Linked DNA regions of Notamacropus eugenii. The protein of the gene in region 1 purifies or fractionates together with the protein of each later gene. This does not show direct contact. Links are inferred from orthologs where the notes say so. Each region holds a gene or a part of one and is shown on either strand. Other genes may lie near its edges. The genes, in order: VPS4A and ZFYVE19.

Region 1 (14,645 bases):
AAGACTTACTCTTCTGTAGATTCTGACTAGGCAGAGTAAAAATTATTCTCTGAGGAATATTTTGGGTCTGGAAGATGCTAAACAAGAATTCTAAGATAATATTAGTTGTGTATGACATCGCTAAGCTTATCAAGTCATCCAGGGACGTCAAATTCATGTGAAAACTATGCTACCTAAGATAGCTTTTAAGTCCAGAAGCAGACACTGAGGAATCTACAAGCTAATCGTTAGGTTAGGAGTTCGCACAGCATAGTGGAAAAAAATCTCAGGCTTGGAATCCAGAAGGGTCCAAATACAGCTTCTCAGTTCGATTAGATAGGTGAGCCTCAGTAAATCATTTAACCTCTCTATTCATTACAAGTAACTCCCTAGCTTACCTTTTAAAAAAGTTTCTTAAATTTTTTAAAAAATTAGTGAATATCCCTATTTTGTCCTTCCAGCTGCCCCCCAATGAAAAAGAAAATCTCTGTAACAAATAGTTGCACAGTGGGCAAAATGAATTCCTACTGTCTGTGTCCAAAACCTGTCTCCCTGTACAACCAAGCCCACTCCCCACCTCTGTTCACAGTGCACTCCCTGAATGATCTCATGGGGCAAAGATGGCTGGGGTAACTCTCAGGTGGTAATACCACTACTCTCTTACTCCTAAATCTTCACTCCCTTTTTTCATACCCACCTCCTTCATCTCAGCCCACCAAAACCCACTCCTGAAGACGCTCCATCTGGTATTTTCCCCTAACCAATCACTGTGCTCCCAGCATGTTTCTTAAAATGACAAGGACCTGAAATTCAAGCCCCCCCCTCCCCCCCAAAATTCAACCCCATCTCCAACATGGTTCTGTCCACGGACCTGAAGAGGGGGACATCAGACACACACTCTACTCTCCTTTAAGAACAGGAATACACCACAAGAAGCCAGAATGTACAAAAAAGGAAGCCTATAACACTTGCCTGGTACAGTTCATGCCCTCCTCCCACTGTCATGGTGCACAGCTCACTTTCTTACCTTTTTGAAGTGTGTTGCTGACTGCACTTTTCGCACAGGCTGCATGAGAGAATCCCGCACGATGATGCTGATGTCTGCCCCTGAATAGCCATCAGTCTTCCGGGCTAGCTCAAGGATATTGGCCTCCGTGAGACTATGTGGGGTGTTCCCAAGATGCAGCCGGAACATCTGGGTCCGGGCTGCTTCCTCAGGCAGTGGGATGTAAATTCGTTTTTCAAACCTAGAGCCAAATGCAAAGGAATAGGTGCTACAGAGGTTTAGAGAAGTATGGAGGTTCCATCCAAAGTCTCCCCAACTCCTTCCACTGAAATACCAGCATAACAGGACTGGCCATTCGAGGCCACCAGTGCCACAGTGACATTACTCACTATCTCCAACAAAAGTATATAAGTGACATTAGCCCAAGGGAACTTATGTGGAGAGGTAGGCAGAAAGGAGAATGACTGATTGAATGTATTCATTCTGAAGGAAAGAACACAAATGAATTATCCTGTAGCACAGGAGTTCTGAAGCTAGGCCATGAATCAATTTCAAGGCCCCCATGGATTGGTTCTCTTAGTGTTACGGTCACTACATTGCAATATAATTGCATTCCTTTGTAATCCTACGTATTTTATTTTCTGCATTTAAAGCATGATTCTGAGAAGCTCTTCAGCTCCCGGACACAACACATCTGAGGGATTCTGAGGTGTAACCTCCCCCAAATCAAACCCAGAGAAATTGTGAGTGAACCAAGCAGGTTATGACCAGAGTCAAAGGTGGCTGAGTAACGTATAGCTGACAATCGGATGGAGAATGCTTAGCAGCTGGTAGATGGGTGACTCCTACTCACCTCCTCCTAATGGCTGAATCCAAGACCCATGGGATATTTGTGGCACCCAGGACCAAGGTGCCATCATTGTTGTTCCCAACCCCTGTGGAAAGAAGGAAAATAAGAAGCTGACCATGATGACATGACCATCACTAGCCACAGCCTCTGAGGGCTTTGTGCTGGAGCCGAGCACCCTCACCCCCTAAAGTGACAACAGGTTCATCTGGGGTTGTAGGAGGAGAAGCAAAAAGTACATCAGCTAGAGTTAGTCGGCTTCTCAGAGGGGACAAAGCAAGCACAACTGGGCTTTGTCAGGGTGACAGCCACAGTCAAGAGTTCCAGAGCTCCTTCAAAGTACTGGTGACTTTACCCAGGGCTACTTAAAGAAGGCTAAGGAGTGGACAGAAGGGAGGGAGGAGAATGGAATAAAAAGAGGCCTGGACAGGGAATTAAGAGACCTGTGTTAAATCCTATTTACATTTCTTTAAAAATAAAATTAAAACGAGGAAATCCCCAAAGCTTTGATGGCTCTGGGAGGCCCATGTGTTTCTAAAAAACCAGCAGTTTCCACCCAGTTCTTCATCAGGTCATGGCTGATGGGTATCGGCGTCCCCATGAACCAGGGTGCCTTGCTACAGGCCAAACATCAAGTCCCAAATTCTCCTCAATGTTAGCGCCAGCTGGCACCCTGGTATGGGTAGACCCTGAACACCAGCACAGGAGCTGGATATCTTTCTGTGTGGGGTGCCCCAGCAGAATGTCCATCCGTCTTCCACCAGAAGCTCTGCTTGTGGCAGATTCAGCAGCTTTTTTGTTGGCAGGCCTGGCCATGCATTTCTGCTCACATCTGCTGGACAGGCCCTCTGTCCCACGGCTGTCCAGGAGGGGCGAGTGTGTTCGGTGTGAAGATTCTAAGAAGTGAAGGCCAAGGAGTAGAGACGCAAAGGAGGTAGGGTGGGCTGGCTCTGGCTCTACAGTTCTGGGCAGTCCCTTTCCCCCCATCCCCAGGACCTCAATGTCCTCCCCTGTAAAATAAAGGCAGCACTTGCAGTGACCTCCAGGCTCCTTTCAGCACTCACCCTGCATCTGGACTAAGAACTCTGTCTTGATCCTCCGAGCAGCCTCACTCTCATTCTCATTCCGAGATCCACAGAGGGAATCTACCTCATCGATGAAGATGATGGAGGGTTTGTGCTGCCTGGCCAGCTCAAACAGGTTTTTGACAAGCCTGTGATGAAAAGCCAGAATATGACTGCCCTTATTCACCCCAACCCTCTCCACCCCTATATGGCTTCTGGGGATGTGTCAGCAAGCAGGACAGGGGGGACTATGTTCTCTCAAAGGGAGGGCTTGCTCTGTGCCATTTTCACTGGCTCCAGAGCTTGGAGGGAATGTGGCCTGACTGCCGACTTACTTCTCACTCTCCCCCAGCCATTTGGACATCAGATCTGAGGAGGACACAGAGAAAAAGGTGGAGTTGTTGGCTTCTGTTGCCACAGCCTTTGCCAGGTAAGATTTCCCTGTGCCAGGAGGTCCAAAGAGTAGGATCCCTCTCCAGGGGGTACGCTTGCCTACAGGAAGAAACAAAAAACTGGTGGATGAGCAGCAAAGGATTCTGGACTCAGAGGATCAAGGGAGCTAACACTGAAGTTGGGCCCTTTTGTCCTGTCCATATATGGCCTGACCATCTTAAATGAACCCTGACCATCTCTAGCTCACTTAGTGACACAAGCCTACTGACAATGTTCTTGTGGGTGAGCTGGACCAAAAGTCAGCTAACAAGTCAAGTGGGATTGGCATCTTCCTCACCGAGGTGGTAGGGGATGGGGAACACCAGGCCACAAGGGCCCTAACTGCTCAGCAGGCTCTAATCCTGTGTCCTCATTCTAACTAAAAAGAATGGGAAATAGTTTTCACCTCTTCTTGGTAGCTTTCAACTTTATTTTTGATATTTGGACTGAATCAGTTCAGCTCTCACCTGTGAACAAGTGTGGGAACTTGATTGGCAGGATGACGGCCTCTTTAAGCGCTTCCTTGGCTCCCTCCAGGCCGGCCACATCACTCCACCGAATGTTGGGCTTCTCCATGACAATGGCCCCTGTAACAAGGAGGCAGAGGGGCCCTAAGGAGGGGCCCCACAGCAGCCCCAAGGGTGACCTCGGCAGCCTCATGCAACTTACCCATCAGCTGTTCTTGCAGCTTCTTTTTCTCTGGATTTTCTCCTTCGCTGTCGCTGTCGCTTCTGTGGAAATGAAACAGGCAGTCACAAGCTGATGCTTTATGTTGGCAGCAGCAAGGTCCAGCGCCTGCCCGCTGGTGTGCAAGAGAAGGGACAGAGACGTCTGCTGGCGATGCCGTGAGTGGCTTTGACAGGGGCGCCCACCCACTAAAGGCCCATAGGAAAGGCACCCAATCCATCCTCATAACAAGTAGAAGCTGGTTTGTAAAATCAATATGCTATTGTTAAGTGCAGCTCTTCAGGGCACAAAATAATGATAACCAGCATTTACACAAAGCTCTAACTTTACTTACATACACTATATCATGTAAACATCACAAAAGCCCTGGGGAATAGGTAATGCAGGACTATTATCCCCATTTTACAGATGAGGAGACAAGCACAGCATTAGCTGGTCAGCCTCAGTGACACAGTAAATACCAGAGGTCTTCCTGACACAAACCCAGCATTCTATCCACTACCCATGCTGCCCCTTCTGACTTTTAGCATCCCCCAAATCCTCTAAGAGAGCAGGCTCTCCCTATCCATGTACAACTGTCACTATGGAGGAATAAACTAAACACTGTTGCAAAATCTTGTCCTCCTGGAAGAAGGGTCTGTTCCCAGGAGCCTTCCTGTCCTCCAGGAAAGGCCTTCCATTCCAGGCAGCCACCCTTTCAAATCATGTCTCCTCCTGATGACATGCTCTCTACAAGCACATTTCTGTCCCTGGGACACCACCTGCAAGCTTCTCTTGCTGTGGTCGGTGAAATTTCAGTTGGAATTCAAGAGCCAGGAACTCCATAAGTTCAGGTTATTTTTATTAGGTCACTTAAACTAATTTATTTATCTAATTTCATTAGATGGCCACACCAAAAAGGGATGTCTGCCCTTGGGAACTCTGGGGATTCTCTCGGCCACACTGATTCGGCCCCTCTGGGCTGAGACACTCACCCCTTGCTGTCATTTGGAGCCTCTTTTACTGGCTTTTTGCTTTGCTTGTCTTTATTCCGTAAGTAATCTTTCAGCTTCTCGGCCCGGTCCAGGTACTGCATACACTTTCCCCGAATGCTCTCCTTCGCTTTATCACTGTGTGCCTCATCTATAAAAGGGCCACCCAAGAAAAGGCCTATTTAGCCTCGGAGGTCACCTCCTTTTCCTCCACCTGCCCACAGCAGCTCAGGACCCCGCCCTGACTCACATTTGATTGCATGTAGGAAATACTCCACAGCGTGTTGGTAGAGCCGCAGTGCCTCTTCATAGTTCTTGGCTTTGTCCTCCTCTGTCGCCTTTGTCACCAGATCAATGGCCTTCTGGAAAGACGACATGACACAGGGCTCCCAAACAGATCCTGAAAACACTCAGTCACAAGCAGCAGGAAGACACTGGAGCCAATGAGCTCAGTCATTTGTCTTAGGCCAGGAGAGCCAACCACTTCCCAGCCATCAAATAGAAAGGCTTTAAAAGGAGGCATTAAAAGATAGTCATCCCTTCTCCACAATAACCACACACTTAACAGGGATTTCATACTCACTCTCCTCTCTGGATTCCAGCAGGAGGAAACCTGAGCTAATGTCCCAGACTAGAGTTACAAAAGGATGGAGAAGTCACTCTGTTGTTAGTGGGACATTTGATTCTACTCCAAAAAGAAAGTGGCCACCAACAGAAGATCTGGGACTCTACTGACCCTCTACTACCACTAAGTAGTTTAGAATGAAGACCAGAAATCACACTGTTTCCAGAATCAAATGGTGGAAGATGCTCTGAGATTCAGAGAAGCACCGTGCCCACTTCTATGCCTCACTGTGTGGATTTCAAGAGAACTTTGTTCAGTTCTGTTGCTCCACTGAATTGGCTTCCTTTGGTTAGAGAGGAGGAGGAGGATATTCCTGAGACCCTACATTAAGTGTGGGAAATTTCAATGATTGAGAACACAAGGAGGGTCTTTCTCTCTGAAAGACACACGTGCTGACAGTCAAATCGAATCATACGATACACAATTTTTGCAGACTAGTTACCCTCCCCAGCCCTCCTCCCCCCAAGTGGGATTTTAAAGGATGAAGTATCTTTATTCTAGTTATAGAAACTCATGATTTCATCCTTTGGAAGGAACAGAAAGCATTTAGCAGAAATACAACTGGTAACTAAAACCCCATCTCTGATGAAGTGACAGATCTCCTGGTCCATCACCTCTGGGACTAAGGCATTGTCAAATGTCAGAGATTCTTCCACCAGAAAAACAGACATTTCCAGGCAATGTGACAGCTGAAGAGATCCGTTCTGGTTAATGACAACCAATCTAAGAGCTTTAAAAGCCAGGAGAGCACGGGTTCGCTATCGTTAGGGCTTTAGTCTTCTCTTGGAGCACACTTGGAGGGCAGCATGAGCCTCAAAGACAAAGTCCTGGCACCTTCTGGACCCCCTAACCAGGGCACACTAACGCCCCAAGCCTGGCTGCTCCAAGGGTCAGACGCAGAATGATGTCTGCGGTGGAAGGAGCTGCCCGCGCTCACAGCCCCCCTGTCAGCCCGTCAGTCCGTCTGTCCGACTGTCCAGGGCTAAATGGAAGTAGGTCAGGTACCGAAGTTTCAGGACGGAAATGTTATGGAGCAGAGAAGAGCCCGCCAGCGTACGAACCCGCCTCCCCCTCGGTGTCTCCGGATAAAGACGCGGCTCCGAAGGCGGGGGAGACCACACCGGCCGGCGGAGGAGGGCCGGAGGGGGGAAGGGCGGCCAGCTGCCGCGGGGCACGCTCCAAGGGGCCTTGGCTCCCATCCTGGCCCTCCCGCCATTCCCGGGATGACCTTGGGGCGGGTCGCTTCCCTCCCGCGGGCCTCAGTTTCCCCATCGGTAAAACGACGGAACCGGCTCGGCTGCAGCCGGCGCCCGCAGGGGGGCGCAGCACCTGCCGGGCTCCCGCGGGTGGGTGGAGGGCGGGGGCTCACCGCCCACCACGGGAGGGTCGGGCCGTGCCCAGGGCGGCCTCAGTTTCCCCAGCGGCGGGCCCCGAGCATGCAGGGGCTGAGGGCCGGGGCCCATCCTCCTCGCTGGCGCCGGGCGGGCCGGGCGGACCGGGCCAGAGGCCTCCCGGGCGGCCTCGGCTCGGCCCCGGCCCGGCCGGCCTCCCGCCGCGGCCTCCCCCGCCAGGCCCTCGAGGCCGGTACCTGGAGAGTTGAAGTTGTCATTTCATCTCCCGGGCGGCCCCGGCAGCCCGCGGCTCTGGTTCCGGCCTCAGTGCGGGCCCCTGCGGGAGGCCGAGGACGCTGGGTCCAGGACGGGCCGACAGGCGGAAGGGGACGCGCAGCGGGCGGGGCCCCGGCTGGGCGGCCTCGGCTCCGCTCGACTCCGAACTCTCCGCGAGCGAGCGAGCGAGAGGGAGAGAGCCAGCGAGAGGACGGCGAGCGCGGCCTAGAGCGGCCCGGCACCGGCTCCGCGGTCGCCCCCTGGCGGCCGCAGCCGAGAGCTGCAACCTCGGAGCCATCCCCGCCCCCCATTCCCCGAGCGAGCGGCCACGCGCGGCGGGGCAGGTAGACCGGGGATCCCAGGCAAGCGGAGCGGCGGCATGGAGCCAGCGCGAGCGCGGTAATGATGACGACTGCCCGGGTGGCTGGAACGCAGAGCCTGCGGATGGGGGCAGTAGAAGGTAAGGCTGGAAAGGGAGGTGGAGAGCCTGGAAGGCCGGGCAGCCCCTCCTGGGGCAGTTGTAAGGTAGGACACAGCCCTGCGGCGCCCGGCGGGCACGGAGCTTCACTGAGTAAAACCCAAGGTTCATTTCCTCCCTTTGTCTTTAAGCTTAAAACTGCCCCAGGACTTCGGAACCCCTGGTACCGGCGCGCAGCGGGAGGGCCGGGGGGGCACGGGCACGCGGGGCCGCCTGCCCCTCCTGCTCGGGCACCTCTGCTGGTGACACGTCTCCGAGCCTCGGCCCCTGAGTGCCTGAGGGAGGGGGGCCGGGCCCCGGCCGGGCGGGAGGGTTCGCCCGCTCCCGTAGCCCCTCGGTGTCTGAGGACCAAGGGAGGGCCGCTTCGCAGGCGGAGTCGCTCAGGTGTGCCCGGGCAGGTGCCACGGATGCCAGTGCGCGCTGGGTGTGAGCCCAGGCCTGGCTGGCAGCGGGCTGTCAAGGAGCGCTCTTACGGGGGTCCTGCTTACTGGATGTCCCCTCATTTTCTGATTCTGCGACATCATTGTACGCACCAGGCTTCTTACCGCATTTAGCAGCTTGATTGCCGAACACTTGCCTCGTTAATTCTTGTTAATTGTTAATTATAACAAACTCGGGCTTTCGCTAAGAGTCCGGCGCATTTCTCAAGCGCGCATCCCCGGACGATGAGAAGAAACAGGCCGGGATTAAAAGTTGTTGAGGATCATGTTCAAAGGAAACGACTGACACTTAATGATTTTCAACTATTCTTATTTCTCGATATTATTTCTGAAAAGTAAACCTCCCTTCTCCCCAGTCCCCCCATAATTTGTATGAAAACAGGACCAGATGGATCCAGTGATTTAGCTTCTGTCCTCAGGAAGCCAGCTGTACAACCCAAACCAGAACTCATTAGACCATTAAAATACTACCTGGGAACATGTGGTTGCTCTAAATCTATTTCTAACTGGCATTTGAGGCAGGTGACAATTTGAACAGGTATCTTGTAAGAGGAAACACCGAAGGTAAAAACGAGCACATCTAAAAGGAAAACTTTTTATTATTTACAATATAAAGGTTACAAAGGTGTACATGTACTTATATGTATTGCCCTCAAGTCACACATTTTCATTGTAATGTACAATGCCATAGTTAATATGCAACTCAAGGAAAGTGTTGTCTAAGTATCCGTATTTATAGTGTACATATAAAGCTTTCCTGGGATTGATACATAAGAACACAATACTGCCCTGTTTTACATGAATATTTAGATTTGGTAGCCTAGACCAACCGGAAGATCCAAGATAAGAGGAAAGAAGTTCTCTTTGAATACAAGAAATACTTTTGATTCTTCCTAGCAGTATTATTACAGTCTTCTAAGTCTCAATATTTAAAAATCACCAGGAACAATATGGGGGTGGGATAGGGAGAGGAGAAGAGGGAAAGGAAGGGGGAAGAAAAAAAAGGGGAAGGGGAGCACGAATTTGCACAGATGTTAGTCAAAACAGGCCACGTTGGGAAGTGGTTTTACACGTTATTTCCCCAAATTCCTTGGGTCCATGGTACCAAAAGGAATAGCTGCTGTTTGTCATGCTTTATTCACTGTGTAAACATATACACTGGTGCCATTTATTACAGCAAGTAATTCCAAAATGGCTCTTTCCAAAGGGCAGATTTACCAAGGGAAACAACAGCTATTAGTGAGTGGTGATGCTAAATGGGAAATACAATTTTAAAATATTATCCATACTCCTGCCTTCTAATATGGTAACTGCATAAAGATGAGAAATATAACTGAATCCATTTAAACAAAAAAAAAATGGATAAATGAGATCATGTTTCCCAGGCTATGGATTACAGATACCTAAATATACAGATCCCAATTATATAGAATGGAGAACACCAGGTTCTCCAAGTATGCATCTAATGTAACAAACAAGAAGACATTGAGGCAAAGAACAGTTTTCATGTACAGTTCTAGCACATATGAAAACAAGGGATTAGTTAAGGGCCAATGTGACTTTCATGTGCTATACCAAGAACAGGAATATTTTTTTTCTGAATACACCTGAGGCTCATCCTTTTAAAAACTTGATCAATATTGTGAGGTCAGAGGAAAAACCTATTTTTAACTCAATAAGGCATTTTGTATAGAAAAGGGCTTTGGTTGGATAAAAACTTTTTGATAAATTAAAATTTGTCTTCTCTCTTTTCTCAAGTACTTTCCATGTTCTGGGACCATGTCTCCAGTAGTTGCTTTAAAAAAAAAAAAAAAAAGGATATTTCTCTGAGTTTCCCACTCTTCATTTTGACCAATCACTAGGGAAGCATTTTACTATGCAGATAAGGAGCTATTGAGATGGATGTCAATCTGGGAATTTATGTTAACAGCACCATTTAGAAAAAAGTTGATGGGTGCAACGAAGAGTAATCGTTTTTAATTCTGCTCTATGTAATTAAAAGAATTTCTTCTCTCCCCCCATCTCTTCCATCTTCACAGTTCTTCACTCAGAACAACAGAGCTTGCTTTGTTTGGTCACATCTTAGTTAGGAGATGAAATTCCATAACATGTCACATCAAGCTTTTCCTTTCTTTGTTCAGTGAGAAAGAAAAAACCAATTTATTCTACCTTATAGTTGGAAGAAACACCCCGAAGTCACCTAAGCCAGTCCCTCTCCAAGTCCTGAATCCCTTCTCCAAAATCTTTAAGAGTGGTTCTACTTCTACTCCAAGTCTACCACTGGATGAGAATTCCACTACCTTCCCCCTGAAGCAATTCCTGCAGGTTTTCCCTCCTGAATAATTAATGTAATATGAGATTTCCTTTAAAGTGCTCAGACTATCACCCTCATTTTCATGAAATAGACAGTCTTTTCTCAAAGCCCAAGTATCACTGTGGACCTTTTTGTTCGGTTTGCCAGCATACCCAATCAGTAAAAATGGGAAACCACTTTGGTAAAAATCTGAGATGAAGTCCTTAAAACCTACTGTGGAAGAGAAGGCATGATTTAGTTGGGCATGAACTAGATTTGTCAACAAGTCTGGCTTCTTTTGAAAGCCCCAAAGCACCAAATGCAGCACTGTGAATTGTAGGCACTTCAATGCTTGGTGAATGTTCTTTCTCACTACAGTATAAGCTATATCTAGTTTTAGCCAATACATTTTTAGACAAGTTGAGTTATGCTTAATATGGCACATTACTGGTAACTATGTTCGTCAGACACAAGCGCCAGATGTTGTCTGTAAAAAGGCACATATAACCATGACATGAAAAGCAAGACATTTGGAAAACAAGAAAAAATACTTCAGGTTCAGTCACTGGAGAAGTTCATAAGCCGGGAAGGGCATTGTAGGAGAGATGATCAGATGCTGAAGTTAAATTTCACCAATTCTCAAATAAAACCATCACATCTAAAAACATTCCTTAAAAGCTAAATATGTAAATAACTTGTTATTAAGTATATGGGGTCTCACTTAAAAAATCAGCTTCAAAAGTATCAACTAGGGAGTGTGGTTAGAGACAAATTTGTCAAAAAGACATGGAAAAATTTAGCAGACTTTATAGAAGCCCAGTGAGTCGACACAGTAGCCACTGTGATAACAGCAGCCACAGTATCAGTAACATGGTCTTAGGCTGCACTGGGGGAGGCAGGAGGGCAGAGTAAGGAGGAAAGGCCTACTGCCCCTCCTGTACACTTGCTTCACCAGACTACAGGAGGGCCAGTTAGCTGTGGGGGACATCGATAAAGTGGAGAACATTGGGGAGGATAAGTGGGATGATCAACCTTGAGATTGTGCTAAGAGAAAATCTATGAAGAAACTGAAAAAGTTCAGCCTGGAAAGGAAAAGACTTAAGGGAAACCATACAGCTAACTTTCAATATCTGAAGGGCTTTTGTGTGAAAAGGGGAACAAACAGATTTGTTCTATGTGGCCCCAAACGGAGAACAAAAAACAACAGTTAAGATTTGCAGAGGCAGGTTTCAGCTGGATGTGAGATAAAACCTTCTGACAATTAGGACCCTCCACAGGTGGAGTGGGCTGCCTCAGGGGGCAGTGAGTTCTACCTCACTGAAAGGTTCTTGGGCAAAGACAGAATGACCACTTGTTGGGGGTATTGCAGAGGGGATTCTTGGTCAGGTATGGCCAAGGCTAGATATTGGAGGAACCCTCCAACTCAGATTTTGCAACATGGACACAGACTCACTTGGGATATGCAACCGAACCTACATCACCAGTAGCAAAAGCCAAACTCACCTTTGATGGGAAAGGACTTTAGAGTAGCTACTCTAACACACTCTCTACATAAAACAAATCTCTAAGATTGTTGGACAAGTCACTCAAACTCATGCATCACTTATAAGACCCTTAGAGAATCAAGTGGTTAAGGTGGTAGTGCAATCATTTTAGACATGTTTATCAACCCATAAGTATTCACCAAATATTGGGTAAGAGCCCAGTAATGTGGATTTTTATGAACTGTGTGGTTTAAAAAAATACCAGCATCTTAAACCACCAACTGAAAGTAAAACTTTGATGTACCTAGTTCTCAGTTACCAGGTAAAAGTGATAACTAAAATGGGGGCATCAGATAATGAATTCTTATACTTTCCATACTGGGGTGGGGATGGGGAGACAAATAGGATCTAAATTTAACTGAAAAACACTCCAGACTTCACTGACTGCATGAGGTCTTGCCAAAAAGCAATCTGCAGCAGGGCAGTGGGTCATGTTTAACCTAAAATATAGTTTAAGCAGTGTCTTAAGGTCTAAAGAAGTCCTTATTTTATAGAAATTAGAATTTCTCCGATGCAAGCAGCTTCAGAACCAAAGAGTTTTGGCATTTAACTTTTCATTTAATAATACAGGATTCAGTAGCAACCTTTGGCCTTCCTACTTGACAGATCAACTATAGTTTCATTTAGCATTGGCAGCAACATAAAGTGAATGCTGGACATTTATACTGTTCAGTTTAAATGAATAGTTTATAGCCACCAAAATTAAGACATTAACATAATTCAGCTGAAGTGTCAGAGCTAAGATTAAAAAAAACACAGAGAAAAGTGCCTAAGTCTACACATCTTCCTTGGAGCCTAAAGAATGTTTAACCCTTTAAGCATGTAGGGCTTTGAAGATAATTTGCATAGCAGCTTACAAGGTAGTTTACAAGTAAAAGAAAAACATGAACAGGGACTGTCTCATTTTTGGAAATATACTAATATAACATGCACATAAATTATATCCTAGGATCTGAAGGAGTTTTTTGAGAAAAAAAAATCCATCAGACCTTTCTTCAAATGTAGTTACACCTCCTTGCCAGTGAAAATCACTTAGAGCAAAAGCTATTTTGGGGGGAGAAACATGACCTTATTAATTCTCCACATGGATTTTTAATTAAAAAAACTGAAAAAAACTTATGATTTGGCAACTAAGTGCAAATTTAAATAGTAGGTAAGATTTGCTACTAGCACATACCATTACAGAGTTAATTTAGAGACATGAATAACTAGTAACAGCTTTAGCTATTTGCTATTTAAAAATATAATTTTTAAAAATAGAAATGTAACAAACAAGGAATTCCATAGCTCTACTTCCTGCCTATGCAGTAAGTTTTTGGAATCATAAAGTTATTGAGAGTGCAGATAATATGAACGGATAATGTGAACCAATAAGATATCCCTTGTTTAAAAAGTGCTCAAAGATGGCTTTTGAAGACTTGAATGGCCTTTAGAATAATATTCTGAGTATGTGCACATAGCCAGTATTGACCTCACATTCCTGAGGTCTACTGGGTAGTTACATATAATTACAATTATAATTATTCTAATAAATAACTGCGTAAACATACATGAAAGAAAGATGCTTCTCTATATAATGCTAGATGTCAAACTCATTTGCAGGTTGAGTTCTAGTTTATGATCTTGGAAGGAAAAATTTTCCTTTTACAAAAAGATAGCTGTTCCTACCTTTCCATTTTTTTCTTTATAAGATGTCAAGGTAAGGACAGAGGGAAATGGAAGAAAAAGAGAAAGAAAGGAGGAAATGAGCAGACCCTCTCACCAATCAGTGGCTTATGAACTCAATCACATGAAGGTGGGGGGAAGGTGCGGGAAAGATCTTCAACCCCCACACCGTGGTTGCATAGGAGTTCGAACCAATGTCCAGTGATTCCTTTTAAGCCCAACCATGGAGAGCACCAAGCACTTTCACAAGTTTCCTGATCAAAAATCAGAAGGTACTCAAAAGCCACCGGAGGGTAGTCAGAGGCAGAAAGGCAGCAATGACTTCTTTTCAAACAATCTGCCGTATTTGGTGAGCTTAATTAGAAACCTATATATGCAGGCTGTCCTTTCCTAAAGCATTCCTTTTGTGAGCTAGGGATCTCACCAACCTTACCCTGGTCACCCATGACTGGATGACTCCAAGAGTGTCTAACAGGTGCAGCCTAAAGGCTCCCCAGAGAGGCTGGTGTCTCGTGAGTGGGCTTCCATTCTGTTCCATTTTGTTTCTCTTTCTTGCATGCAAACATCTAATCAAGACCCTTAGGTCTGTGAGGCTTTATGCCTGAGCAGCCCAAACTGGGGGAATGAAATCCACCATTGGATTATAGGTTAGTGAAGGACGGACAAGGGATGGCTTTTTCTTATTCTCACTGACATTTTACCCTGTACAAAATCTTCTTGCAAAGAAGGATGAATAGGGTGGTTTCCAGACATTCCCATGATAATATTTCTTGTTGGCTCAGGCTTTTTTTAAAAAACAAGAATATATAAAAATATCCACAGCAAAGCAGGAATCTAGGGACGTTGTTGGGGAAATTTGAGTCTGCAGAGCTAAACTTCTGTTCACCCGAAAACAGGAGTCCCATGTAATGATATTCTGACTGTGCAGATTTGACAGCTCCTGCTGAAAAGAGCCAGGCTCCTAGATCTGACTGCATCAAGTGCTAGAGTTCGCTTTAAGATATGAC
Region 2 (14,645 bases), on another chromosome or scaffold:
GCACCATGCAGGGTGCAGAGGAGGTGCTTCATAAATGCTAGTTTCTTTCCAAAAGGTTTCCAGAGCATGAAGACTACGTGAACAAGAACAGACATTCATATGGTCACTTAAGGTTTGCAAAGCGATTTATACACAAATGAATGAATGAAGAAAGCACTTATTAAGCGCACAAGGGGCAGCTAGGCAGTGAAGTGGACAGAAGGCCAGGCTTGTCTTCCTGAGGTCAAATTTGGCCTCAGAGACTCCTAGCTGGGTGACCCTGGGCAAGTCACTTATCCCTGTTTGCCTCAGTTCTTTCATCTGTAAAATGGGCTGGAGAAGGAAATGGCAAACCACTCCAGTGTCTTTGCCAAGAAAGCCCCAAATAGGACAACAACGAACACACAACAAAACGTGGGATGGTCTCAGTTCTCAAGGGACTCTTATTCTAATTGGGAGAAGCACCACACAAAAGAAAGTTGGACTGCGGGGTGGATGGCCAGTCCCAGAAGTACTCAGGGTGCGGATGGGAAAATCCATCAAGGGTTTTTAGGTTTCATTTTTACGTCATATGATGATGCTGAGGATCCAGAGGGCGCAGAGGCAGAATGGATGGTAAGGAAGGCCTTAGGAGGCAGTGGCTAAGAACACAGCAAGCCTTGGTTACTCTCCATCTCACCAAAACAGAGTTGGTCACTCCCATGTTATCCACCCCAATCACATCAACAGTCAGACAGCCAAGAAGGGTTCTGGGCAACCTCGGGAAGGTATGGGGGAAAGGGAACAGAAAAGAGGAGAGTGTTCCCAAGAGTGCTGGGTCTAGGAGGTCTTCGCACTGTCCAGATGCTCCTGATAGAGTCTGGGCAATTACAATACCAGTTCAGTAATGAGGAAATTGAGGCTTAGGGAGGTGAGGTAATTTGCCAGCAGAATCATAAGCAGGATGTGAACTCAGTTTTCTTCTGACTCTAAGTCCACTGCTCCTTCTTCTATATCAAGAGCCAAACCTCCTGTGCCTCTTCTCCCCATCATCATCTTCATCATCACAGCTAACATTTGGATAGCAACTACTATGTGCCAAGCATTGCACTAAACACTCTGGGAGGTGGAGGCTATTATTACCCCTATTTTGCAGATGAGGAAACTGAGGCAGACAGAGGTTAAATGGCTTGCCCAGGGTCACACAACCAGTAACTGTCAGAGGCCAGATTTAAACTCAGGCCTCCTAGACTCCAGGCCAGGTGTATAGTACTAACCAGAGTACTAACTAGTTACTCTAAAAGAGTTTCATCCATGTTGGAGCTTCAAGGCAGGGTATGCATATGAACCAACAAGCATTTATTAAGTGCCTGCTATGTGGCTGAACTGTGTTAGGCACTGAGGATAAAAAGACAGGAAGGAAGTGATCCTTGACCTTTAAAGAGCTTACATTCTCTATCAGGGAACAATACATAATATATGAGGAAATTAAAAGCATGTACAAAATAATGGGGATTGGGAGTCTGATAGGTGGCCTCCTACAGGAGATGACCCTTGAGTTGTGGTCTGGATGAAGGTGGGGATGCTAAGAGGCAAAGGTGAGGAAGGAGTCTATTCCAGACACAGAGGACAGGAAGGGCATGGGAGTGGGAGAAAGAACATCTTGGAGAAGGAATAGTTGCAAGTAAACCAGTCTGATCAGAACACAGAAGGTATGAACGGAAGTAATGTGTAATAAGCCTGCAAAGGAGGGATGGAAAGAGTTTTAAATGCCTCCTAAGAGGCAAAAAATAGGGAGTCACTGGACATTTCTGAACAGGAGCATGACAGGCTCAGACCTGGCTTCAGGCTGGACTATCACCTCAGAAGCTATATGGAAGAAGGCTTGGAGATGAGTAAACAAGCAGATGAGGGGTGAGGGCCTAAAGCTGCGGGCAGCCAAGAGAGTAGAGAGAAGAGAACACTTGCTAGAGAAGCTGGGGAGGTAGAATCAGCAAGACTTTTTGATGAGTGAGGAGTCAAGCAGATGCCCTCAACAGAAATAAGGAAATTAGGAGGAAGGTTTAAGGACAAAGAATGAGTTTTGTTTCAAATGTGTCAAGTTTGAAAGGGATGGGGCCCCTTTTACCATTATTAGAAACTCCATTGTTAGGAGGGAGCAGAGTAGAAAGACACACATACACTAGCTCTTCATCAATAGCCCATAAAATACCTATAAAAAAAGACTCTCAACAAATTCTAGAGCAGGAGAAGCCACAGAACAACGGAGTGGAGGAGATTTCCAGCCCAGGGTGACCTAAAAGGCCAATGGGAAAGGTCTGTTGCACTAGACATGGATCGGAGCCCAGCCCAGCCTTGGCCTTGAGGCAGGGTCCAGGACAGGAGCAGGCCTAGGGGTGGAATCCCCAGCAGCAGTAGCAGCAGTTTGCAGATCATTCAACCCACAGGTGCCAAAGGTCAGTGAGAGGGTTTTTTTCAGCTGACTGAGAAGGAAGCAGGGTTTTCCCATAGTTCTGGCCTCAGGTGGCGGGTGGCAGAGATGCAAAGCAACAGCAGCCTGCATCCATTGTTGGACAGTAAAACCCCTGGGGGAACTGAGCAGCTGATACTTACCTCAGTCCTGTATGGTGGCCCTGCCCCCACCTAAAGCCCCTGGGGGAATTGAGCAGATTATCTGAATCTCAGCCCCCAGTGCTGGCTTGGTAGAACTGGAGGCCAGGTGGTTGTGGAGAGGAAACTACTACTCAGATTCTGGGCACAAAAGTTTCTGGTAGCTCCCAGACCAGTGTACAGGCTTGATTGTGCCACCTTGGAGGAACTGAGATATTACAGATTCCCAGAGTATACCTTACTCTTGACAAAGGACCCAAAAGTCAAGTAACTGGTTGGGAAAAATGCCCAAAAAAGGGAAAAAAAATAAGACTATAGAAGGTTACTTTCTTGGTGAACAGATATCTTCTCTCATCCTTACAGATGAGGAAGAACAATGCTTACCATCAGGAAAAGACATAAAAGTCAAGGCTTCTGTATCCCAAACATCCAAAATAAATATTCAATGGTCTCAGGCCATGGAAGAGCTCAAAAAGGATTTTGAAAATCAAGTAAGAAAGGTGGAGGAAAAACTGGGAAGAGAAATGAGAGAGATGCAAGAAAAGAATGAAAAGCAGGTCAACACCTTGCTAAAGGAGACCCAAAAAAATGCTGAAGAAAATAACACCTTTAAAAATAGGCTAACTCAATTGGCAAAATAGGTTCAAAAAGCCAATGAGGAGAAGAATGCTTTAAAAAGCAGAATTAGCCAAATGGAAAAGGAGGTTCAAAAGCTCACTGAAGAAAATAGTTCTTTAAAAATCAGAATGGAACAGATGGAGGCTAATGACTTTATGAGAAACCAAGAAATTACAAAGCAAAACCAAACGAATGAAAAAAATGGAAGATAATGTGAAATATTTCATTGCAAAAACAACTGACCTGGAAAATAGATCCAGGAGAGACAATTTAAAAATTATGGGACTACCTGAAACAGGACAAAGGACAGAAATGCAGAGTATGGGGCTTGGCCTTGTTCTGCTCCATACTTCCTAACAGCTTTCTCATCTTCATCAGCAACCAGATTCTGCTTTACATCCCAGCTCCCCACCCAAGCCATCTTGCTCCCTCTGCCCTCCCAAATCATTCTACTAGGACCAGTCCCTTCTGGACCAGACCTCCAGAAATCATGCTCATGGGTCTCTGAAGGAGTGGATAAATTCAGCTTTGAAACTCCTACCTTGAGGCTGATCTAGCTTGATTGATGGGTAAATGCAAACTCCTGTGGCCCACAACATCTAGCCAACTGAGACCAGACCACAAATTACATCCCATAAAGCTGTATACCCTTGCCTTCCAGCTTGTCACCTGCCTACCTCCTTGGGCCACAAATCAACATTACCATTGTTTCTGGAAAGGACATGTCACCCACCGTGACTCCCCAGACCAAAACCCCCTTCCCTGGCCACCATTTCTCTACATTTCCCCACATTTAAAGATGGGGTCCTTGAGGTCAGGGACTATCTCTCTTCTGTAACTGTATTCACTCAATCAATAAGCATTTATTAAGCACTTATTATGTGCCAGGGTGCTAAGGCAAAGGATGGTCCCTGCCCTTGAGAAACTCACACCCTAATGGAAGAGACAATATGCAAAAAACTATGTACAAACCAAATACAAGATAATCAACAGAGGGAAGGCACTAGAATTAAGGGGAAATCGGGAAAGGTTTCCTGTGGAAGGTAGAATTCTGCTGCTGTTGCTGAGTGTTTATCGTTCTCAAGAGGATCATGACATCAGAGAGGTGATACCGTGACATGCAAGTGAACTGAATTTAAGTGTAGGAGAGCTGGGCAAGATCAAGACAACTGGAGAAGGCCCAGGATGCAGTGGGGGACCTTGGGCTTTTCAAGCTAAAGTTTTACAGGCCTCAGTAGAATTTTAGCTGGGTCTTGAAGGAAGCTAGGAGGAAGATATGAGGAGGGAAAGCATTCCACTTAGTACAATGCTTAATGAATGCTTATCAGATCTCACTTCTTTCCCTTCTTTCCCCCTTCTATTCTTCTTCCCTCAAACCAAACGGCAAAGGAAAGCCTCATGATATAGACCATAGTGCATTGGTTTCAGCATGGAGCTATTTTCTCTTTGAGGAACCCCAGGCATTTTCTTCCCATGCAATTGCACAAATATTTGACTACCTCCCATGTAGGAAGCAGGTTCTATATTGGATACAGGGATCAGTAAAATAGAGTCCTTGCCTTCAAAGCGCTTACCATCTAATAATCTAATACTGAGATTTAAGAAAATCTATAAATCTAGACAGCATATAAAGTACAATAACTGTAAAAGAGCTGTAAAATGCTATGATAGTTCAGAAGTCACATGTCATTAGGAGAAACAAAAAGGCTTCATGAGGAGGGCACTTGGAATGTGCCAGACTCCAAGAGGCAGAAGCTACAGACACTGGAGGGGCTGGCAGGCTCAGTGTACACTGCAGTGGGCTTGGAAAGGTGGCTTGGGGCCATGCTGTGGAAAACCTTGAATGCCAGAATGAGATGCTACTGAAACTTCTTTTTAACAGGATATTAATAACATGGGTCAAATCCCATACTCAATAAACTTGATTGGCTCCCTATTATCTGCAGGATCAAATAATAAAATCTGACGTTTAAAACTCTTCATAACGTGACCTCCTCCCATTCTTCCCCAGCTGTAGGGTGCAGTCACACTGGCCTACAGGCTGTTCCACTCCATCTCCCATCTTTGCACTGGTTGCCCCCCAAGCCTGGAATGTTCACTCCTCATTTCTGCCTCTGGCTGTCTTCAAGATCAAACCCTGTTTTTCATAAGGGCCCTTCCCCAGTCCAACAGTCCCTTCCCTCAGCTGGTACTTTCATATACTCTCAATAGTGTCAGGTGTGTCCGTCCATCTGTCCTTCCATCCATCCTTCCGCCCTTCCTTCCTTGTCTTCCCAAAACCTTAAACCCAGTGCACTCTGAAGCCCATAGGTTGGACAACAGGTCCCTGCCCAAGCTCCACTTAACGACTGGCTTACAGTGATTATCAATGGTAACGGTTTTCTCTTTCCCTCCCAGTTTGACTTAGTTTTTTTTCTTTTGCTCATTAAAAGGGCCATACCCTGACTACTTCTTAAAGAGGCCTGTCCACTCAATGGGTGTTACCTCATTTTAAGGGAGTAGGTGAAAAGTCTCCGAGGGCCTCCTGGGTCATCTCCAGTCATCCTGATGAATAGCTGGTCAGTGGACCCAGATGGCTCTGGAGGAGAAGTGAGGCTGGGGACCTGCACAGCCCTTCCCCGCTCAGATCAAAGTCAAGCGCAAGTGATGTCATCACTTCTCTGACGTCATGGTCTTCTTCAGCTCGCCAACAGTCATTCACAAGCTGCGGCCCATCAGAATGGGGCTCTTTCCTCACATCCCCAGCCTGGCACATGCCAATGGCTAATACAGGACTGCTGATTAGCTAATCAAGCTCTGGGTCACTTTATAAGCAGGAAAATGTCCTGACAGCACCAAACCGATACTACACCCTTCTAACAGGAACTGTTTAAGTTCTATTAAGTAAGCAAGGAAGGAAATGTTGGGAAGGAGGAAAGAAGGAAGGGGGAAAGGATTGTGGAGAGAGGGGCATGCTGGGGGATGAGGAAAGGGGAGAGGAGGGAGAAGAAAGTGGGAGGAAGAGGAGGAAGAGGAAAGCGATGGGGAAGGAAGAGGGGAAGGGAGAAGAGGGAGGAAACAGAAGGAGAAGGGAGCAGAGGAGGGAGATGGGAGAGGGAAAAGTAGGAGGGGGGATGTGGGAGAGGGAAAAGAGGGAGGGGGGAGGGGAGGAGGAGGAGGAAAAGGGAGAGGGGAGAGGGAGGGGGGAGATGGAGGGGGAGGGGGAGGCGGAAGGGAGAGAAGAGAGAGGGAGAGGAAAAGGGGAAGGGAGGGGGAGATGGTGGGGGAGGGGGAGATGGCAGGGGAGGGGGAGATGGCAGGGGAGGGGGAGGGGGAGGCAGAAGAGCGAGAGGGGAGAGGAGGGGGAGGGGGAGGCGGAAGAGGGAGAAAAGAGGGAGGGGGAGATGGTGGGGGAGGGGGAGGCGGAAGAACGAGAGGGGAGAGGAGGGGGAGGGGGAGGCGGAAGAGGGAGAAAAGAGGGAGGGGGGAGATGGAGGGGGAGGGGGAGGGGGAGGCGGAAGGGAGAGAAGAGAGGGAGGGGGAGATGGCAGGGGAGGGGGAAATGGCAGGGGAGGGGGAGGGGGAGGCGGAAGAGCGAGAGGGGAGAGGAGGGGGAGGGGGAGGCGGAAGAGGGAGAAAAGAGGGAGGGGGGAGATGGAGGGGGAGGGGGAGGCGGAAGGGAGAGAAGAGAGGGAGGGGGAGATGGCAGGGGAGGGGGAAATGGCAGGGGAGGGGGAGGGGGAGGCGGAAGAGCGAGAGGGGAGAGGAGGGGGAGGGGGAGGCGGAAGAGGGAGAAAAGAGAGAGGGGGGAGATGGAGGGGGAGGGGGAGGCGGAAGGGAGAGAAGAGAGGGAGGGGGAGATAGCAGGGGAGGGGGAGGGGGAGGCGGAAGAGCGAGAGGGGAGAGGAGGGGGAGGCGGAAGAAGGGGAGGGGGCAGGGCGAAGGGAGAAGTTCCCATAGGCCCATGGCCCGCGGCCCCCCCGAAGCACAGAGGCTCCCCGACCACGGAGGGGGCCCGGTACCGCCCAGGAGGCGCCCAGACCGTTGGCCCGGGCAGGGGACTGTAGGCTAGGAAATGCTTGCAGGCCTCGGTCCCGAGAGCAGCCAGGGCGCTGCTCCTCCACCCGGGGCAGCTCCAGCTTCTGCTGTTGCTGTTGCTGCCGCCGCCGCCGCTACCACAGCCCGCAGACTCTCACCTCCTTGTCGGCCGCCTTCTCCCCGACTCCCAGGAGCGCGTACAGGTCCATTTGCAACAACTCCTTGGTCACCGCCATGGTCCCGACCCCTGAAACCGGCGTCTGTCTCCGGGAACTACAAATCCCAGAAGCCTAAGCGCGGGCCCGCGCTAGGGAGTCCTCACGTCCAGCCGACCCTGCGTTCACTGTTTAGGTTGGAGGCGCTTTGCCCCCTGGGAATTGAAGTTTTTTTGGAGCCCTCCGAAGGACTCCGCTCGAGAAAAAGAACTACCCTTCCCAGCAAGCATCGCTCTAGACCCAGGTGGACGGAGCCCGGTCTATCCAAAGGCCTCCTGGGCTATTAAAGGGTGGGGGCCCCCCCGAAGCCGATGGTAGTAAGGACGAGATCGCTGCTCCCATCTCCCTCGAAGGTTTGGCTGCGGAGGCGCAGTGTCCTGACGGCCCCAGGAAGCTGTCTGTCTGTCCTGCCCTGGAGATGGAGGGCAGGTGCTATGGTTGCGCGGTCAAGTTCACCCTGTTCCGAAAGGAGGCAAGTCTAGTTCTCCCTGGAATGTGGGGGCGATGCACCTCCCCTTGTAACCATCGCCCCGCCCCCTGCCCCGCCCCCGCCCGTCACCCCCTCTTCTCCCCCTCCCTCGCTGCCCACCTTTCCCCGCTGGGTCCCCGCTCCGGAACTCCCCTGCCCCGCGGCTCCCATCCCGCAGGCTGGCTGTATGTGTCCTCTCCTTTCCGGCCTGCCCTTTTGAGTCACCTGTCCCCATGGCTTTCCATGCCACCAGGGCCAAGTGGACCCAGCTGCTAAGGATCCCTTGGGTGCCCCCGGGGCGTGTGGTCCTGGGCATGGTACCCAGCTCGCTTCCTGGGCTGTAAGAAGAAGGAAATGCTTCCACGTGTGAGGAACCACACCGATAGACTGGGAGGATGGCGACCCGTCCTCGTGCCACCCTCTGTGCCAGGGGCAGATTGAAATGGGGCACCCCGCCCCGTCATCACCCTCTCTCCAGAAGAAGCCCGAGCGTCTGCCACATCTCTGGGGGCAGAAGAGGGCGAGAACGATGTGCCAGGAAGGAACCTGGGAGAGGATTTTCTTTTCTCCGGTCCGCTGAGCGTGCCCCTGGCTCCATCTCCCCACCTCTGGAAGTGGTTTCCCACTGTTTCCCTCCTCAGAATGTCATATGTTCTTCATCCTGAGAGATCCCTGCGGGAAAAGTGCCCCAGGAGGACCAGATGGAGTGTAAGTGTGCGTTTTCTTGCATCTTGTTTTTGTGTAGTGTGGTTGTAAGAACTGTGGTCGAGCCTTCTGTTCCAACTGCCTCTCCTTCAGTGCCGCCGTACCCCGCTTTGGGAACACCCAGCAAAAGGTCTGCAAGCCTTGCCATGAGGCGCTGACCAGGTGAGTAGTATGGATGATCAAGCTAGACACAAGAGCAGCCTCTGGTAGGGGGACTGGATCATAAATTTGTGAATGTGGAAGAGGCCAGCGGAAAGGTCATTAAATAGGATGCTTCTACAGTTCCACTTACCTATATATGTTCCTAAGTCTGTAATATAAGGATCTACTGCAGTGAGGCAAAATGTATGCTGGAGGAGCGCTAACTGGTATGGTGGCAGTGCCCAAAGGAATGACTCCTTATGACTCTGAACTTTCTTCCTGCAGAGGGCCTTCGGAAGCCAGTGTCTCCAAGTGGTCACCACCTGAAAACTACAAGAAGTGAGTGTTGGAGGGGTAAGGATGGAGATGGGCATGGAGACAGGGAATCTACCTCATGCTGAGGTATAGAGTCACAGAGACTCTCTGTGGAGACTATCTTGTGACCCAAAGGAATATAGAATGTTGGGAAAAGGTCCCCGCTTTCCAGGCTGCCTGGCCCAATATCCTACCCTATGATACCTGTCGTAATATAGAACTTTCACTAATTTATGCACGTTCAGTCCTGGCCTCTCTGCTACAGTCTCTTGCTGGGTTAGATCTGGGGAATACATAAGGGCTTGCAACTAGAATCTCCCTTGAGGGGACAACTTTTCTACCCAAGGCACCCCTTTCTAATCTAGACTTTGGAATTTCCTATTGATAACTGGAGAAGTCTTTTTCTTACCTACCTCTTCCCCTTACTTTGAGAAATCCAGAAAGTAGGCTCTGCTTTTCCATCCCTTTGCCTGTACCAACTACTGGTTCCAGTGACCCTTGCTTTTCAGTATCCTTCTCCATTTTGTCCCCCCAATAGGCGTGTTGCTGCATTGGAAGCCAAACAGAAGTTCATTGCTCCCCAGGGCGTGGTTCGGCCACAGGGACTGTCTCAAGAAGACCAAGTCATTGTCAAGCGACTTGAAAAACTCCGCCAAGAAACCAAGCCTAGTGAGTGGGATTGGGAATGGGTCCAGCTGAAAGCTGATGCAGTGGAAAGAGCATCGGATGTGGAGTCATCAAATTCAGAACCCATGTCTTTCACTTACTCTCTGTTTGACTTTGGGCAAAGCACTTAACCTCTTGGGGCCCCAGTTTCCTCACCTGTAAAATAAGAGGGTTGGACTAGTTAACGTCTAAAGTCTCTTCTTGCTCTAAGTCTATGATGCTGTAAACTCCAAATCACTTCAATGGGAAGGGGAAGCCTCAACATCTAAGGGCGTGTGTATAGAGAAGTGGGCACTAAAAATCCTGGAGTAATTCTAGGACCTGACTGGTAGCTTTTCTGTGTGTGCTACAGAAGTGGTACCTTCCCAGGCAGAGATCGAAGCCAGGCTGGCTGCTCTTCGGAATGAACCTCGAGGCCCCATCCCTTCCACTGAGGACATGGAGGATCGACTAGCTGTGCTGCAGGGCAGGCTCCCCCCATCGCAGGCTCCTCAGCCAGTAAGAGCTGTAGCCCACCACGTGTGGACCTTTGGCCTACCCAGCTGAACAAAGTTGGTTGTCTGAGTTCTAGTGTCTCTGTTGAACCTTATTACCCTGGATGGTGCATCTGCTTCTAGATAGGGTACCCCATCATCCCCCACCTCTCTGCACTCTATGCCTTTTCGGGAGCTCTTCCTGACTGGGGTTCTCTCCACTGATCCAGGTCCACCAACTTCCTGACACCAGGACACAGGCCCAGCAGGCAGAAGATCTCTTGATACAATTAGCAGCTGAAGTAGCAATTGATGAAAGCTGTAATCAAGAAACTCCACCTCCAAGTAAATCTCTCCCTATCCCCTGTGCCTGTCTGTTCCCTCAGGGATGATTTACCATCACCTCCTGACAAGGGAAGATGAGACCAGCCTTGTCCCCAGTCCTTAGCTCCCTCTTCCAACTTTAACCCCATCTATGGTTTCTTTCAGGCGTCTCTCAGCAAAATGACCTTAATCGGGACAGCCCAAGAGGCTGGAATATTGGCCCTGATGAATTGGCCCACCAGCAGCTGGAAGGAGAGAAGGGCAGGCTCCTAGCGGAGGCAGCAGCTGAGCTCAGGGAGGAGAACACGCGGCAGGAGAGGATCCTGGCCCTTGCCAAGCGGCTTGCTGTGCTTCGGGGCTTGGACCCTGAAGGAGGTAGGGAAAGGGGCTGGGAAGCATCAGGATTTGGCCCACAGGGCCAGGGGCTGCTCCTGTCCCATCATGCCTGATGCAGGGGCCCAACTACACCCTCTATCAAGAATGAACAAGTCCTACTTTGGAGTCAGCAAAGCTGCAGTGCCCCCCAGAGCAGGAGACTGACCAACACCTGCCCCCTACAGGTGGATATGAGGCTCAGATGGGGCGGGCAAGCAAAGGGGCCCAGCTTCCATCTTCCCTATGTCCCGCACTTTCCCTAAAGCCTAATGTTGAGAGAACTTATCTGAGCAAATGCTCAGGAGGAATGCCATATCTCTCGCTCGTCAGTCCCTAAGGCTGGTCTGACTTCAACAGCCTAGCAGGATGTGCTCCAGGCATTAAAGAAACTGCTGTTCCAGGACAGGCTCAGTGTCCTTGTAACCTCTTTCTCCACCAACATCCCAGGCTGCCAGAGTGACATTATTAAATCAGTCTGGCCATGTCACCTCCTCCCCAGCCACCCCCATTCAAATTCCAGTGGCTTCCTGACGTCCAGAATCAAATAGAAGATTCTTGCTAGGCTTATTCTGACCTTTTTGGGCATTCTCCATGAGCTCTAAGGTCTAACCACCCCGGCCTCCGGGCTCCTCCTCACATGTGACTCCCCATCTTCTGGGGCTTTGCATTTCAGTCCACTTAGGATGCTCCCCTCCCTCACATCCGCTGCCTGGCCTCAGTGCCCCTGCTGTGAGAGGCCCTCCCCGGTCTTCGCCCATCTCCCACCTCTCTTCTGAGGATTCCCTCTCCTTTACGCTCTGGCTTGTGTGCGCACAGTTGTTTGCATGTTGTCTCTCCCATTAGCCTATGAGTTTGAAGGCAGTTCAGTGCAGTACCTGGCACATGGCGATGAATAAATGCTTATTGACCTAAACCTAACAGAGCTGGGCAGGGAGGTTGATGTGCTCCCAAGAGACATCTTCTCAGTGTTAATTTCCTCCTTCCCTTGCCTTTAGTGACCTTGCAGAATTATCACTTCCCTGACAGTGATGAGGATGAAGAGGAGGCCATCCAGCGAATCCTTCAGCAGGTAAGGCTGTTCTGAACCATACCTTGAGACCTAACCTGTCTCCTGTTTCTCCCTCACTGGGTCATTTCCCCACTGCCTGCCATGCCCTTCCCCTCAGAATGCACATGTGCATGCTTTCCCAGGGCTTGGGGTGGTTGCTGTCTGGGCCCTGCCCCTTTAGTTGAACACTTGCTCCCATGCAACCCCCATTCTGCTTTGTGTTCCCCGATGACTGTGGGGAAGCAGCAGCCAGAGTGGGAGAGGAAAGTGAAACCAGGCAAGGGGTGGGGACAGCTTGGGTGGGGATTGAATGGAAAAGGTTGCAGGGAGACTGACTGAAAGAGAAGTGTAGAGAAGAGGCTGCTCCTGGAACCCTCCTCTCTCTTCCTGTTTGTAGCTTACAGAGGAGGCTGCCCTAGATGAGACAAGTGGCTTCAACATCCCTGCAAAGCAGGCGCCTCCAGCCCAGGCCCAGCCAAAGCCTAAGGTGAGACACCTTGGGCACTAGCCCTCAAGTGTGGTACAAGGGTCGTGGGGTTCTGACTTTGAGTCCTGGTGAGTCTTCTGCTGGTAAAGCTGTATGACCTTGAGCAAATCATTTAATTTATTTGGGACTCAGTTTCCTTATTTGTAAAATGAGGGCCTCTAAGGTCCCTTCAGGCTCAAAGCCTACGATCCTATTCATCTTTGTTAGTGCACTTTGTTCCCATCACAACAGCGCCCTGGGGGGAGAGTAACCCTCTACTTGTCGGCCCTCCCTTTCTCTTCAGGCTCTGGCTGTGGCCCCCAGGGCTGAATCGGAGATGGCAGAGGAACTGCCTTGGTGCTGCATTTGCAATGAAGATGCCACTATACGCTGCCATGGCTGTGATGGCGACCTCTACTGCTCACGCTGCTTCCGGTGGGGAAAGGGGACCCTGTGCTGGGGCTGCCAGAGGCATTTGGGAGTGCACAGGGAGGGGAGTTGGGTGCCCAGGGAGTGGGTACACACACACACACACACCACACACACACGTATGCACACATGCAGACATGTGCCCACTTCCACTGAATTAGTACTACTGACCATTGCCCCTTTTGCCTGCAGGGAAGGCCATGATGCCTTTGAACGGAAAGAGCACAGGACATCTGTCTACCGTGCACCCTGCAGGGGACGAAAGCACTAACCCCTTTGGGACTTTGCTGGAGTTGGTCCTGCCGGAAAGGCAACCCTGTAGTTAGTTCCCTTGAGATGCTGGGGAAGGGGCCTAAGTGTAATGGTTCCTAGTTCTGCCTACATCTCAGAGGATGCTCCTCATGGGTGCTACTCAGAGGGTGGAGCTGATCCAGGAGGAAGCCCTCCTCTCAGCCTTTGGCTTCCCAAGGAGAAGGCAGGATCCTCTTTCCTAAGATGGTGACTCAGCAAGGGGAAGGGCCTGGGAGTCTTGGGAAGGATGCACCCCAAGTCAGAACCACTGATGGATGGAAGGTCATCTGAGCATTTTGATTCTTACTGTATTAATATTATCAGTCTTAAAACCTGGCTCAAAAAGTTGTTCTCCCTCCTGGTCCACTGGAAAATACACAGTACCTCATTAGCCTCCAATAAAATGTGTCAACTCTCCAAAGCTTGTGTCCTCTCTCTTCCATAAGGCCACAGGAGACATGAGATGAAGAATTAGGAGCAGGCCAGGGGCTACTTCTGGACCTTGTAGGCCAGGTCAAGGCATTGGATCTGGGCAGGGATCAGGCTTTGGGCGATCTGACACAACTACCTCAGTTTTCTCAATGCCTCTGGTGCTGGGGTTGAGAATAGGAAGGATACCTGAGTCTTGGGACCCATCATGGACCTTAACTCCCCTCCTGCAGTCAGTCCCCATATTGCTTTCTGTATCCAAAATCTGAGCACTATTGACTTCCTTCCAGAGGCAGCTAGATAGCACGGTGTATACAACACCAGGCCTGGAGTCTGGAAAATCTAAATTCAAACGCTGCCTCAGACACTTACTAGCTGTGTGACCCTGGGCAAGTCACTTCACCCTGTTTATCCCAGATAGCACCTATTTCCCATAGTTGTTGTGAAGACCAAGTGATACAATAATTGTAAAGCTGTGGTCATGATGGCTATAGCCCTGTGCCATCCATCTGCACACCTTTACCCACCTCCTACCCATTACTTTTGCTACAAACGGTCAATGATCCTTCACCCCATTTCCCTTTGGGTCAGTAAAACTCCACACCAATAACTTTTCTATAGGCTTTACCCTTTTAGATCCAAAACATGAGTCATGAACTCTAGAGGTGGTGACCCAGAGTCACTTGTCCAGTCAATGAGGAGGCCAAGCTGGTGTGCTGATACTATCAGGCTGAAGCTGTATATGCCCCATATCCCCTAGGGCAGTGTCCACACATTTCATCCTCCAACTTGCTGGCCCATGTCTCCTGAGGGGACTTGCCACTCATCTCCATAGTCAACGCTACAAGGTTGAGGAGGTGACTCTGGGAGGCAGGAAGGGTGAGGCTTATAAGGGTCCATAGTCAGCTGAGGTCTAGGGGTAGGTAAGGTGGTACATAAAGTTTCATTTCTGAGGCCGACTGAGCCTCCGGAGGCTCTTGAGGCGGCAAAGCAGCTCAGAGATAAAGGGCTGGAAAGGGAAAAGATGCTGGAGTTACACATGTCACTTGTAGTCAAATCTACCCCCTGCTTCTACCTTCCACCACACCATGGCTCT

What was found.
Region 2: the proteins of VPS4A (region 1) and ZFYVE19 purify together in Homo sapiens (affinity purification with mass spectrometry; 3 studies listed by BioGRID and IntAct, counting the BioPlex papers as one, with this or other methods). This does not show direct contact. The link is inferred for Notamacropus eugenii from reciprocal best matches to the Homo sapiens genes VPS4A and ZFYVE19.

The regions. Positions count from the first base shown.
Region 1 is NC_092872.1:708,680,195-708,694,839, reverse strand, and holds the start of VPS4A (vacuolar protein sorting-associated protein 4A), read right to left. Parts: upstream 7,441-14,645; 5' UTR 7,221-7,440; coding exon 7,200-7,220; intron 5,349-7,199; coding exon 5,237-5,348; intron 5,138-5,236; coding exon 4,990-5,137; intron 4,060-4,989; coding exon 3,998-4,059; intron 3,916-3,997; coding exon 3,796-3,915; intron 3,389-3,795; coding exon 3,232-3,388; intron 3,046-3,231; coding exon 2,897-3,045; intron 1,921-2,896; coding exon 1,839-1,920; intron 1,227-1,838; coding exon 1,007-1,226; intron 1-1,006. UniProt on the Homo sapiens protein: Involved in late steps of the endosomal multivesicular bodies (MVB) pathway. Recognizes membrane-associated ESCRT-III assemblies and catalyzes their disassembly, possibly in combination with membrane fission.
Region 2 is NC_092878.1:26,967,292-26,981,936, forward strand, and holds ZFYVE19 (abscission/NoCut checkpoint regulator), read left to right. Parts: upstream 1-7,766; 5' UTR 7,767-7,836; coding exon 7,837-7,890; intron 7,891-8,412; exon of another isoform or gene 8,413-8,536; coding exon of another isoform or gene 8,537-8,595; intron 8,596-8,632; coding exon 8,633-8,754; intron 8,755-9,018; coding exon 9,019-9,072; intron 9,073-9,586; coding exon 9,587-9,717; intron 9,718-10,066; coding exon 10,067-10,212; intron 10,213-10,417; coding exon 10,418-10,532; intron 10,533-10,676; coding exon 10,677-10,886; intron 10,887-11,881; coding exon 11,882-11,955; intron 11,956-12,331; coding exon 12,332-12,421; intron 12,422-12,704; coding exon 12,705-12,835; intron 12,836-13,021; coding exon 13,022-13,100; 3' UTR 13,101-13,541; downstream 13,542-14,645. Other genes in the region: DNAJC17 (dnaJ homolog subfamily C member 17), read right to left, coding at 7,362-7,439; PPP1R14D (protein phosphatase 1 regulatory subunit 14D), read right to left, coding at 14,493-14,558. UniProt on the Homo sapiens protein: Key regulator of abscission step in cytokinesis: part of the cytokinesis checkpoint, a process required to delay abscission to prevent both premature resolution of intercellular chromosome bridges and accumulation of DNA damage.